Linked DNA regions of Callithrix jacchus. The protein of the gene in region 3 interacts with the protein of the main gene of each other region in a biochemical or structural test. Links are inferred from orthologs where the notes say so. Each region holds a gene or a part of one and is shown on either strand. Other genes may lie near its edges.

The links.
Region 1: the proteins of NCL (region 3) and TOP1 form a complex in vitro, tested with the Homo sapiens proteins (2 studies listed by BioGRID and IntAct). The link is inferred for Callithrix jacchus from reciprocal best matches to the Homo sapiens genes NCL and TOP1.
Region 2: the proteins of NCL (region 3) and ADAP1 form a complex in vitro, tested with the Homo sapiens proteins (2 studies listed by BioGRID). The link is inferred for Callithrix jacchus from reciprocal best matches to the Homo sapiens genes NCL and ADAP1.

The regions. Positions count from the first base shown.
Region 1 is NC_133506.1:36,462,098-36,465,711, reverse strand, and holds part of TOP1 (DNA topoisomerase 1), read right to left. Parts: coding exon 3,499-3,614; intron 2,384-3,498; coding exon 2,315-2,383; intron 1,491-2,314; coding exon 1,376-1,490; intron 1-1,375. UniProt on the Homo sapiens protein: Releases the supercoiling and torsional tension of DNA introduced during the DNA replication and transcription by transiently cleaving and rejoining one strand of the DNA duplex.
Region 2 is NC_133503.1:58,060,016-58,064,264, reverse strand, and holds the start of ADAP1 (arf-GAP with dual PH domain-containing protein 1), read right to left. Parts: upstream 2,816-4,249; 5' UTR 2,602-2,815; coding exon 2,520-2,601; intron 322-2,519; exon of another isoform or gene 248-321; intron 1-247. UniProt on the Homo sapiens protein: GTPase-activating protein for the ADP ribosylation factor family. Binds phosphatidylinositol 3,4,5-trisphosphate (PtdInsP3) and inositol 1,3,4,5-tetrakisphosphate (InsP4). Regulates the incorporation of CD63 and CD9 into multivesicular bodies.
Region 3 is NC_133507.1:152,901,858-152,905,942, reverse strand, and holds the start of NCL (nucleolin), read left to right. Parts: upstream 1-1,236; 5' UTR 1,237-1,376; coding exon 1,377-1,394; intron 1,395-1,806; exon of another isoform or gene 1,807-2,028; intron 2,029-2,465; coding exon 2,466-2,597; intron 2,598-3,720; coding exon 3,721-4,085. UniProt on the Homo sapiens protein: Nucleolin is the major nucleolar protein of growing eukaryotic cells. It is found associated with intranucleolar chromatin and pre-ribosomal particles. It induces chromatin decondensation by binding to histone H1.

The DNA.
Region 1 (3,614 bases), on a different chromosome or scaffold from region 3:
CCCATGATCTTACTGGCCCTTATCTTACTCAGGTAATTCAACTTGCCTCCAACGCCTAAGATCAAAATTTGAGCCAACAGTCATAAGAAAATAGGAAGTTAATATGTAAGCTTGGCCTGGGTAAATTCCCATCACAAGAGGAACTCTGAGGTAATATAATAAAATCTACACCTTTCTTTTTACTCAGAGAACTTGGCTAGGGACCCTTCATCTCCTTGCTTCCTCCCTACCCATATGCTTGTCATAGGTGCTGCTGCTATTATTACTATGGTTTGTTGCCCATATTCATTAAGTTCTATACTGGCCACTCCCTGCCTCCCTGCCTCCCTATCTCTCTACCCAATGTAGCCTGAACAAAATGAGGAACTGAAGAGATGTTAAAAGTTAAAAAAATTTAAGCTATGAGTGGTAGTATTATTATGATTATTATTATTTTAGAGATTGGGTCTTACTCTGTCACCCAAGCTGGAATGCAGTGGTATGGTTGTGGCTATTGCAGCCCTAAACTCCTGGACTCAGCCTCCCAGGTATCTGGGACTACCACTACACCTGCCTAATTTTTACAAATTTTTGTAGAGATGAGGTCTCACTATGTTGCCCAGGCTGGTCTGGAACACTGCTGGGTGCAAGTAAGTCTCCTGCCACAGCTACCCAAGTGCTGGGATTACAGGTGTGAGCCACTGCACCTGGCCTGGTAGTATATTATTTAAAAAGAAAAATTGTAAATGTCATCCAAAAAAATTGTTTTTACTTGTATAAACAGTGTCGCATTCTTTCTATCACCTTAAAACACTGACCTGAACATACCTACCTCTGGCTTTTCTGGTTCATATTCTAAGGCCATTTGACGTATTTACAGAGGGCAGTGGAAATTCATTAGTGACTGGGCTCCAGGAAAAAAAAAGTCCGTGATCTTGGTGATAATATTCTAAAAATTGGCTATAGAAAGTATCTACTCTCTTACAGGGAAAAAAAATGATAGAAACTTTAGGGAAAGGACTTATCCCTGTATCTTTCTCATAAACATGACAACTTTACTCTCTTCAATTTAACAGAACATCACAGCACTGCCTTCACTCTGTGAGCTTTTAAGTAATATATTAATAAAACACAAATGCAGGTATTTTCATAGCAGGTAAAAAGCTGTCAGCAATCCATGAAATTAATCTTGAAGTTGGGGTGGGAAGGGGGAAACAGCACTGATCTTAAGTTTATACAACTAAGCATTAGCTAACTATTAGAGGTCTAAAGAGGAAAAGTGTCTGATCACAATGGTAGGGAAAAAAAAGTAGAACTGACTCTAGGACTTAGCTAAGCAAGGACACCGGATACCATGAGTAGGGGTGTGGGCCCTGTCCAGCCAAGTAATACTTACGGGCTGTGAGTTCTTTTAACTGCTGTTGTAGCGTGATGGAGGCGTTGTATGTACGGAATACCTTGGCTGTTAAGCCCTCCATGAGATCCTGAAGATGCTTATTTAGAATACCAGTCTGGAGGAGACAATGTAACAGAGACTTAGGTCAAAGCTGTACTACCTGCTCCTTCTGGCAGCCCTAGGAGTAATTTATACCAGTGCAGTCACAATCGTGTCAAGTTTATTTCCCTACAAGTGAGAAGTTAGGAAAAGAATTCCAGAATACAGGGTTACATAATGCCTCTCTATGAAGTATTTCAGTGTGCATGTGTGTGTACGTATGTCAGGGTCTCATTCTGACACCCAGCCTGGAGTGCAGTGGTGCAATCTCGGTTCACTGCAGCCGTCACCTCCTGGGCTCATGAAATCCTCCTGATGCTCCTAAGTAGCTGGGACTATAGGCATGGACCACCACGCCTAGATAATGATTTTGCCATGTTACCCAGGCTGGTCTCAAACTCCTGACCTCAAGGGATCTGCCCTACTTGGCCTCCCAAAGTGCTGGGATAACAGGCGTAAGCAACCAAGCCTGGCCCAGTATTTTGATCTTAACAGACCAATAAAGCAAATTTGTCCTTCCCTATCAAGATCTCAGGCACAGGTTTTGGGTCTCCAGTAGGGATGGCTGGGCATTCAGTGAAGGGAAAGCTCTGCAGGAGCAGGGAAGGGATAAAAGGTAGGGTTCATCTACTCTCACCTTGAGGGCCTTAGCATTTGTTCTACAGCAGATGTGTCTTCTCTTGGCCACAGATTCACCGTGGGCTTGGAGGGAGGAAGAGAGAGTATACAGGATGCCACAGAGCAGGCCAGGCTAAAGGAAGAGCCCGTTATCTGCCAGCAACCCTCCCCTTGAGGTTCTGGCTGGGAATCCCTTCAACCCAGTGTGCTTTGTCTACTCACATTGAGTCTATCAAAAAGATCATCCTCAGGCTGCTTGTTCTCCATAAATAGTTGTAAGTTCTTAAAAACCTAAAAGAAATAAGTGAATCCCAATTATTACTCTTTTAAAAAAATCCTTACATTAGAAATAATCCCAAACTTACAGAAACTTGCAAAGAAAAAAAAGGCACAGGAACATGCATACATCCTTCACCCAGATTCACTGTTAACCTTTTACCTCATTCATCATTTGCACAGGGCACATGTATGCTCACTCTCTCCGCATGTATATTTACAGATATATATACATAATTATTTGCTCTGGGCCATTTATAAGTACTTACTTATCATACAGTCCTTTAACCCTAAATATTTCAGTTTGTACATTGTAAAAATAGATATACCCTTACATTTACACAGTATTTATCAGCTTCAAAAATTTACATTGATACCTACTGTTATCTAATCTACTGTCCACAATCCAATTTTGTCACTTTATCTGATGATGCCCTTTACTTCATCAGTATAGAATCCAATCTGAGGTCAGGCATTACATTTAATTGTCAAATCGCTTTAGCATCTAATAGAGTACTCTTCCACGGCCAGCAAAGTCTAATTACTGATTAAATCTGAGACTGCTGCTGGGCTGGATTATTAGTATCCTGCACACTACAGGTCTCTGGTTCCAGCCCAATACTTTGGAAAAGATCAGGTTGGGACTATGGAGCTCTAGCACCCTCTTCAGTGGTGGGATCTGGGGACTAACAGATTAACCTTTCACTCAGTCAGGAGTTGGAGAGAGGCTAAGTAAAGATGCCAAGTGACAAATGTCCTTATCAGAAAGGTAATACAGGGTGGGACAGTGACTAAAAGGAGGTACACAAGACATCAAATATTACCTCTCCCCTCTTTCAAGTCATTTATTTATTTTAATTTTAGAGGCAGGGTCTCACTCTGTTGGCCAGGCTGGAGTACAATGGATATTCACAGGTGTGATCAGAGCACACTATAGCCTCAAACTTTTGGTCTCCAGTGATTCTCCTGTCTCAGTCTTCTAAGTAGCTGGGACTACAGGCATGTGCTACAATGCCTGTCTCAAGTCACTTTTGCTGGTACCCAGCAAACTGCAGAGGACACAAAGCACTCAAGCAATGCTTGTTGAATAATGAAAAACAAGCCAGACAATACAGGCTAAATTAACTTACACGTTTCTCAACAGGGACCTTGTTGTAGTATCTGATGGAGTCCTTTCCAAGGAAGTCAAACTCTACCACGTATTCCTGACCATCCAACTCTGGGTGTAGATTGATGTGCTCCACAC
Region 2 (4,249 bases), on a different chromosome or scaffold from region 3:
ACAGGGTCTCATTCTGGCCTAGCCTGCAGTGTGATCACAAATCACTGCAGCTTCCAATTCCTGGCCTCAAAGGATCCTCCTGGCTTAGCCTCCCAAAGCACACCCGGTCCCTGTTCTTTGTTGCAATTCAGCAGGCAGCTCCAAGGATGCAGAGGCACCTCCTCCCTCCCCCAACCCCCACCTAGGATGGAGACCCCCACCCAGGTCTCGTAGGACAGTGGATCCAAGCACATCCCCATTCACCTACCTGCCAGGCCTGAGATGAGAGGCTCTCTGGGTGGCCGCTGGGTGAGGCCCCCTGTTCAAGGCCAGGGGAACCCACTATTGGGATAGATAATGGAGAGAGTTTGGAAAGAGCTTCTGTGGAGGCTGCAGAGATCCCCACACTGCCTCCCTCACACCGCCAGTGGGTGAGGCTTGTCCAAGTCCACCCCAGCACCCCCAGGCCTGGGCCTGTCTGATGTCCCACTGCTGTCCAGGTCTGTACCAGCTGTGAGCCAGTGCATAGGACGGTGTTCTGAGGACAGCAGAAAGTGTCGGTCACCCCAGCCCCTATCAACATCGGCAAGGCTCCTCTTCACCCTGCCGGGCCACAGCAGGAATGGGAGGCCCCAGAGCAGCAAGCATCAGCAAAGAAGCACAGAGCCCTCCAGGATATGCCATGGGATCATGGGGGGCTGGGCAGCCCCCCACCTCCTGATACCTCCATTCTACCCCATGGACATAGCCCTTGGGAGCGGGGATAAGCACAGTGGCCGGGTGTGGCCCGGCCTTAGGAGGCCTGGTCTACCTTTGGGGCTCACGTCCCCTAAGACAGCTCCAGTTTGCAAGGCATCAGTCTCCCTGACTGAGAAATGAGAGCAACCCTTCACAATATCCCCACTCCATGGTGCTACCCGACAGAGGAGGCAAGACACTGAGGTCATGAGCCAATTCTAAAAAAGCAGAGGTGCGGCCCTGTGCCAGGCAGCATGGGGAATGGGGGGGCGAGAACTGCTCGGCGGGGGGTGGGCAGGCTGGAAGCATAGCAGGTGGTCGAGGCACACTTGTACCCACTGGGAGGAGAAGGGCCACTGAAGGGCCCAGCAGACTAGGGAAGTCCCCTCTTCCTCCTGCCAGGCTGGGAGGCCCAGAGGGTGGCTGGAGAGGGGCTCTACATCCAGAGAAGCTGCTCCCAGGCTGTGTGGCCAGAGGTTCAGAGACAAACCCAGCTTCCCTCCTGCTGGGCCACAGCAACCCCACACCAGGCCCTTTCCTCTGGCTCTCTGGCCAAGCATTCCTGAACAGGCGGAAATAAAGGTTGGGGGTCAGTGGGGAGAGTCTGGGGTGAGCAAGCCCAGGGGGCCGCCCCATCACACCATGGCACAGACCCTGCACCATCCTGCTTCAGGAGGCCATGGAAAGGCTGTGGATCCAACCTGTCTTTCCAGAAAAGCCTGTGACTGTCCCCCTCTGACCACCCCAGCTCCTGGTGTGGCCTCTCCAGCCACACTGTGGCTGGACAGCAGCCACCAAGACCTGGGGCTGGCAGAGATCCCTCCATTGCTGAGGGAATCAGGTCCTATTTCCAGGTGTGCAGAGGCTGCATGCTGATCCAGGACCCTGGGGGCAAATGCAGGGTCTTCCATCCCCTCCCCGCCCCCCAACCTGGGCCACTGCTGGTGAGTTTAGGTTTGCTCCGAGGGGCTTGGGCAATTGGCCCCCAGATTCCTGGTGTGCCCGGGGTGGTGGGACTGCTCCTGCAGGTCCCTCTCCACACAGGACAAATGGCCTGGGGCTGACAGCTCTGAGCAGGGCAGGGCTGGTCTGGGCGCTGGGCCCTTTTGCAGCCAATGGCAGGACCAGGCCTGGAAGGGAGGGACTCCCCGCCTTTGGACTCCAGTGCCTTGACATCCCACAGACCAGGGGTGCAAGGAACCAAGTCAGGGATACCTGGCCAGGAAAACTGGCGGCAGGTGAACACGACCTGCATCCGGCTCCACCTCTCCGAGGTCCCATCTGTCCTGGCACCTGCACCAGAGCAGCCAGGTGCAGGCAGCGGGGGAGGGGCGCCGCTCACCCCCACGGACCCCCGACCCAGCGCAGGCGGGAGGGGGTGAGGCATGACGTCACCCCGAGGTGGCCCCCGAGCCGACGGACCCCGCACCCCGGCAGAGCCCTTCGGCCGGCAGTCCGTTCCCTCCCTGCAGCTAGCCCCAATTTCCTCTTTCTATGCGGAGCCTGAGCTTTCGCAACGCGGCGGGCGGTCCACGGTGACCGAGAGACACGCAGCCTGGCGGGGGAGGGGAGGGGAGGCGGCGGCCGGGGGGCCTCTGGGGCCCTCGGGAGGCGCCTTCCGCTCCGCCCGGCCCGGGGAGACGTCTGGGTCCCCGCAGGTGCAGCCGGGCCCGGGCCCCACCCGAGCGCCGACCTGGCCCGGTGTTCTGCGCCTCCACCCCCGCCCGCCCAGTCCCCGGCACCCCCGCGCCCACCCGGGACCCTTGCGCCCACCCACCAGGGCCTACCCGGCCCGCACCTACCCGGGGCGCCACAGTCCGCGCAGCGCTCATTCCCCGGCCGCTGCAGCAGCTCCAGGACCGCCCTGCGCCGCTCCTTGGCCATGGCCGCGATGCGCCCGCGATGCCGATGCCGGGGCCGGGGCAGGGAGCGTCCGCCCGGCTCGCTAGGACCCCGTGCAGGCCGCCCGCCGCCGCCGTCCCTGCGCCATCCCGGGCGGCCTCAGCCCGCTCGCAGGTTCCGCATTCCTCCCGCCCTCCGCCGCTGCCGCCGCCGCCGCCGCCACTGCTCGTGTCTCAGCCGCGGTCGCTCAGCCAGTGCCGGCGCGGGGCCCGGGGCGCACGTTGCGCTCTGGCCGGCAAGGCCCGCGGGCGGCCCCCAGCGGCGCGGACGGGCGGGCGTGTGGCCTCCTCCCTTGGCCGCTCCGGCACCCCCCAGCCCGAGCGCCCCAAGAACCCTCCGGGAAGTCGCCGCCGCTTGCCCCTATCCGGGGCTCAGCGCCCCACCTGCCCAGGCGTGAGGCACCCCCAAAACCTGGACGTCCTGGGTGAGACCCTCGTGCAGCCATATGCGCCAGGACGGAGCCTGCATACCCACTGTGGGGCCGCGCAGGGGTCTCGGGCGCAGAGGGCACCTGCTGAGCCCACCAAGACCATGGGCACGGGGGTGCTCGTGGAAGGAAGGTGTGTGTGCCCCTCTGGGGACCAGCGCGCTCACACCATCCCTGCCTGGGAGGGGCGGACAGCAAGCGACAAACGCCACCGTCCCAGGGCACTGAGGCCGCAGAGGGCCCAAGTGGAGCCGCCCCCTGAGACCCGCCCCGCCGCCCACCACCCACAGACAGGACCCACTTAGCACCCCTCCCACTCAGGCAGGCTGAGGGTCTCGGCCAGGACCTGACATGGCAGCTGACCGGTAACAAAAACTTGGCTTTGATGTCCCCTCCTCCCAGACTTGGGAGCCCTTCTTCTGCATACCCCAGCGATTTTTCAAATTCTTTCCATTTTCTTCTTACATTGTTAACGCAACACATGCTGCTGAAAACAGGCCGGCTCTTGTCTGCCGAAGTGCAACTCGTGCCCTGGGCCCCAGCGGGACTGAAAAATGAAGCCTCTCCCCACTGCCTTCCAGGCATCCACTATTACAAACAATTCCTCAGCACCTTCGAGAATGAAAGTCCTCAGCCTGAAGCCTTTCATTCATTCATTCATTCATTCATTCAGGGAGACAGGGTTTCTTGGCTAAGGGCTGTCATCCCAGCACTTTGGGAGGCTGGTGGATTGCTTGAGCTCAGGATTTGAGACCAGCCTGGGCAACATGGCAAGACCCCATCTCTACAAAAAATGCAAAATTTAGCCAGGTGTGATGGTGGGGGCCTGGAGTCCCGGTTACTCAGGAGGCTGAGGTAGGAGGATCATTTGAGCCCAGGAAGTTGAGGCTGCAGTAAGCTATGATGGTGTCACTGCACTCCAGCCTGAGACGGGGGTCTTACCTTTGTTGCCCAGGCTGGTCTTGAACTCCTGGGCTCAAGAGATTCTCCTGCCTCAGCCCCCTGAGTCGCTGGGACTGCAAATGCATGCCACCATGCCCAGCTAATTTTTTTATTTTTTGGTAAAGATGGGGTTACACCATGTTGGCCAGGCTGGTCTCAAACTCCTGACCTCACATCATCTGCCCGCCTTAGCCTCTGAAAGTGCTGGAATTACAGGCCTGAGCCATCGTGCCAGACCTGACATGTATTTTCTTACTGAAG
Region 3 (4,085 bases):
ACCGAGTGTCGGCTCTGTCGCCCTGGCTGGAGTGCAGTGGCACGATCTCGGCTCACTGCAGCCTTCGCTGTGCCAGTTCAAGGGCCTCGTTCTCTCAAAGTGGTGGGATTGAAGGCGTGGGTCACCGCGCCCAGACTCAGGTGATTTTTAAACAAGTCCGGCCGTAGCTGCAGGTATCCTGGTTCTGTAGGAACGACGAAGTATGGACGGATCCACACCTGGATCTATGGATGGGAAGGATCTCAGGGAGGCCCTGGACGGAGGGAAATGCTCTGGTTTGCTAAGCCTGGCACCGACTGAGACCCACCCACAAAGCGACCCATGGAAGTCCCTGGCGGCCTCCTCTGCTCTGCCGCGGGGGAGCCCTGCAGGTGGCTCCCGACCTGCTCCCGGGCCATCTGGTGACGCTGACTTCGCAGCCACCACCTTAACTGGCGCGTAATACCAACCAGGGAACCCGTGGGCGGCCAGAGGCCCGGCTCTACGGTCAGCCCGCCCAGGCACCTCTCCCTGCCATGTGAGGCCAGAAAGTTACTTCTCCGAGGCTGTTTCCCGTGACCAGAAATACCTCCCGCCTGAGGTTCTGTGGGGTAGGGGAGGTTCGTGCACTTCTCACAGAAAACGTCGCACAGACCCGCCACTGCCTTTATTAAGAGCTCTCAGGAGGCTGCCTGGAGCCGAGGGTGTCTCCGGCCCCATGCTCGCGGGCATCAGGGCGAAGCTGTGCCCCCGAAAGGGCCAACGGGAACTCCGCGGTCCCTGAACTTCCGGCGCTGGAGGGCTCCTCGCTCAGGGCTGCCGGGAGCCGCGGCGTGAGTGCGTGCCGGGGCCGCGCGCGGGATCTCTGAGGCCTCGAACCTCAGGGCTGTCGGAGTCTAGAGATGCAACCACGCTAGAGAAACGAAGGCCGCCCGATTTACACCACCCCCGCGCTCCCCTCACACCCGGCGCCAAAAACGCTAGTCCCACGGCGCAGGCTGGGACCCGCGCGCCCACGGCCCAATCAGCGCGGGCCTTCCACAAAGCGAGCCCCGCCCCCACGCCGCTGCTGCCAGCACCTCCCCCTCCCGTGGCCGTCTCGGCCCGCCCATTCCCAGCCCCGCGCCGTTCTTGGTTAGAAGCTCGCGATTGGCTCATAGGGACGGCCGCGAGCTCTGGTTGGCCGGCGCGGAGTCACGAGGGCGTCGTCGTCGTCTTTCCACAGGCGATTACTGGGCAGGCTCTGTCTTTCGCCTCAGTCTCGAGCTCTCGCTGTCCTTAGGGTGTACGTGCTCCGGGATCTTCAGTACCGCGGCCGCCATCGCCGTCGCTTGGCTCCCTCTGGGCTCATCTGCGTCACTTGCTCGCTCCACACTCCGCCGCCATAAGCTGTCGTCATGGTGAAGCTCGCGAAGGTAAGCGGCCTTGAGTGCGAGCACCGAGATCTAGGCCTGCTTTCCGAGGGGTGAGCGCGGCGCCGCGGGGAGGAGGGCCTGCGCGCAGTCCCGGCCGCGTTCGAGGGCGCCATGCTGCGGGAAGTCTCGCGCGATTAGTGGGGAGGTCTCGCGGTTTCTGGCTACTTGGTGGCGAGGTGAAGAGCTTCTGCAGGTGTTGGGGGCGGCGAACGCGGCGGGAAAGACAGAGTCACTGAGCGCGGGGAGGGGGCGCTAGGCCCCGGGGCAAGGAGATGAGACCAGACTCATCTCGCGTACGAGATGCGACGCGTACGAGCTAGAACCCGACTCCTGACGCACGTGCCCGGGAGCGCGGCCTGCCACGTGGGCCTCGCCGCGTGGGTCCGGGAATCTCCAGAGGGAGTGGTGCGTTAGGGTGGGAAATGGCGGTATCGGCCCGAGTCGGAGGACCGGCTGCGCTCGGGATGTCTGCCCCTGCCCGGCAAGCCGACACGTGGTGGGCCCCGGAAGGTGGCTCTGCCGCGGTGTTTCGGGCACGTGGTGGCCTACCAGGTACCCCCACGTGGCCGCGCCGCCTCTTTTAGGGGCGGGGTTGTCTCGCTGGGAAAGGAATAACGTTCATCAGAAAACCAAGGTATTTTTTTTAAGTGCCTTAATGATCTTCACTCATAATTTGGATTTGGATTTGGATAAGGGTTGTAGAATAAGGTTCCGGGATTTGAAGTACTAAAACACGGGTGTACTTAGAAAGCCTAAGGAAAAAAAAAAGTCAAACCTACGGTAAAAAGTCAACCTGAAGAAATGATTTCTTCACTTCTTCAGGTTGACTTTTTACCGTAGGTTTGATTTTCTGTTTGTAGAGCCTGACAGCAAACATGTGTGGGCGGTTGAGAGCAGGACCTCTTGCATTGCCATTAGGGCTAGTTTTTATGTTAGTTGTGCTGTTTGGCCCTATGAGAAATGGATCTGAGGAAGGAGATGATGGCGTTTTACACTGAACAGTAATGGCAAAACGTGAATGGCCTGAAATGTCGAAGTGAAGATGTGATGATGTACTTGTTACCATTTTAGGCAGGTAAAAATCAAGGTGACCCCAAGAAAATGGCTCCTCCTCCAAAGGAGGTAGAAGAAGATAGTGAAGATGAGGAAATGTCAGAAGAAGAAGAGGAAGAAGAAGAAGAAGATGATAGCAGCGGAGAAGAGGTAATTTCATCCAACTCAATGCGGAATTAAGTTAAAACTACAAAATGGGGAGTTAGGACATGAAATTGGATGTCTATGATAAAAATAAGATTTTATTCATCTGCGTATCTCCTGTTGTAGTGATCGAGTGTTTCACAAGCTCTTCGTTCATGTCAAGATGTCATTTGGCTAAATATTTGAATGTGAGTTTGAGACAGATCTGGGGATCTCCTTTCCATGTGCCTCTGCAGGGCTTGGAGTGTGATTTGTTGTGCTGAATCGTTACATTTGTCCAGTTTCAACATGTTATCCTCACCCCCACATTTTAGACACAAGGGAAAGATCTGTTCTCTCAATGGCAGAGCTGGGCGTTGTATTCAGATCTGAGGATAACCTTACCAGATTCCTTTCCTAGGCTCCATTTAAGATTAATTGGTCTCTATTCCATTACACTACTCACTGTGTTACTGTTGTCTCTGGTGTAGACTGAGGGCTGCCACCGCCCTTTGTGTTAACGTTTACCCTCTAGCACTCCTGGCTATTTATTTGTTCGCTATGAAGACAAGTGAGGACTGAATTGTGCTCAGACTTCTCTTTGAGAATTGAATAAAAGTTACTTTTCCATACATTGCCTGATAAAACTAGTAATCAAAAAGCAGATTTCAGTGGGACTTTATTAATGTAGCTAAATGGTGGATTCATCGTTTTGTAAGGGATATTCAGCCTATTTGATCTTCATTTCATCTCGTATCTTAAGAATTGAGCTTCACCAAGCTTGGTACCAGCACCTACTGTAGGAGCCTCAGATGATTTAATAACAGTTAATGCTTGGAGCCTCCTATGTGTACGGTTGTGAATAATTTACACATAGCAATTCCTGTTCCTTAGACATGTAAGGATGATACTATTACCATTTTCAGGTGAGAAAGTTGGGATTTGGGAAAGTATGAGGTATGAGAATTCAGAGGTATTTTAAGTGTTCAGAAGGGTTCCTTATTCCTAGATATTCACCTGATAATATGGAGTTTAACATGGTAACGTGTGTCTAGGGCTTGTGGTCTTGAACCATAGGCATTGACAGAATCTAACACTAGTTGGGACCATGGTTGTCTTCTTACTGGTTTGGTTTTCATTTATTCTCAAGGTTGTCATACCTCAAAAGAAAGGCAAGAAGGCTGCTGCAACCCCAGCAAAGAAAGTGGTAGTTTCCCCAACAAAAAAGGTTGCAGTTGCCCCACCGGCCAAGAAAGCAGCTGTCACTCCAGGCAAAAAGGCAGCAGCAACACCTGCCAAGAAGACAGTTACACTGGCCAAAGCAGTCGCCACACCTGGCAAGAAGGGAGCCACACCAGGCAAAGCATTGGTAGCAACTCCTGGTAAGAAGGGTGCTGCCATCCCAGCCAAGGGGGCAAAGAATGGCAAGAATGCCAAGAAGGAAGACAGTGATGAAGAGGAGGATGACAGTGAGGAAGATGAGGATGATGACGATGATGAGGATGATGATGAATT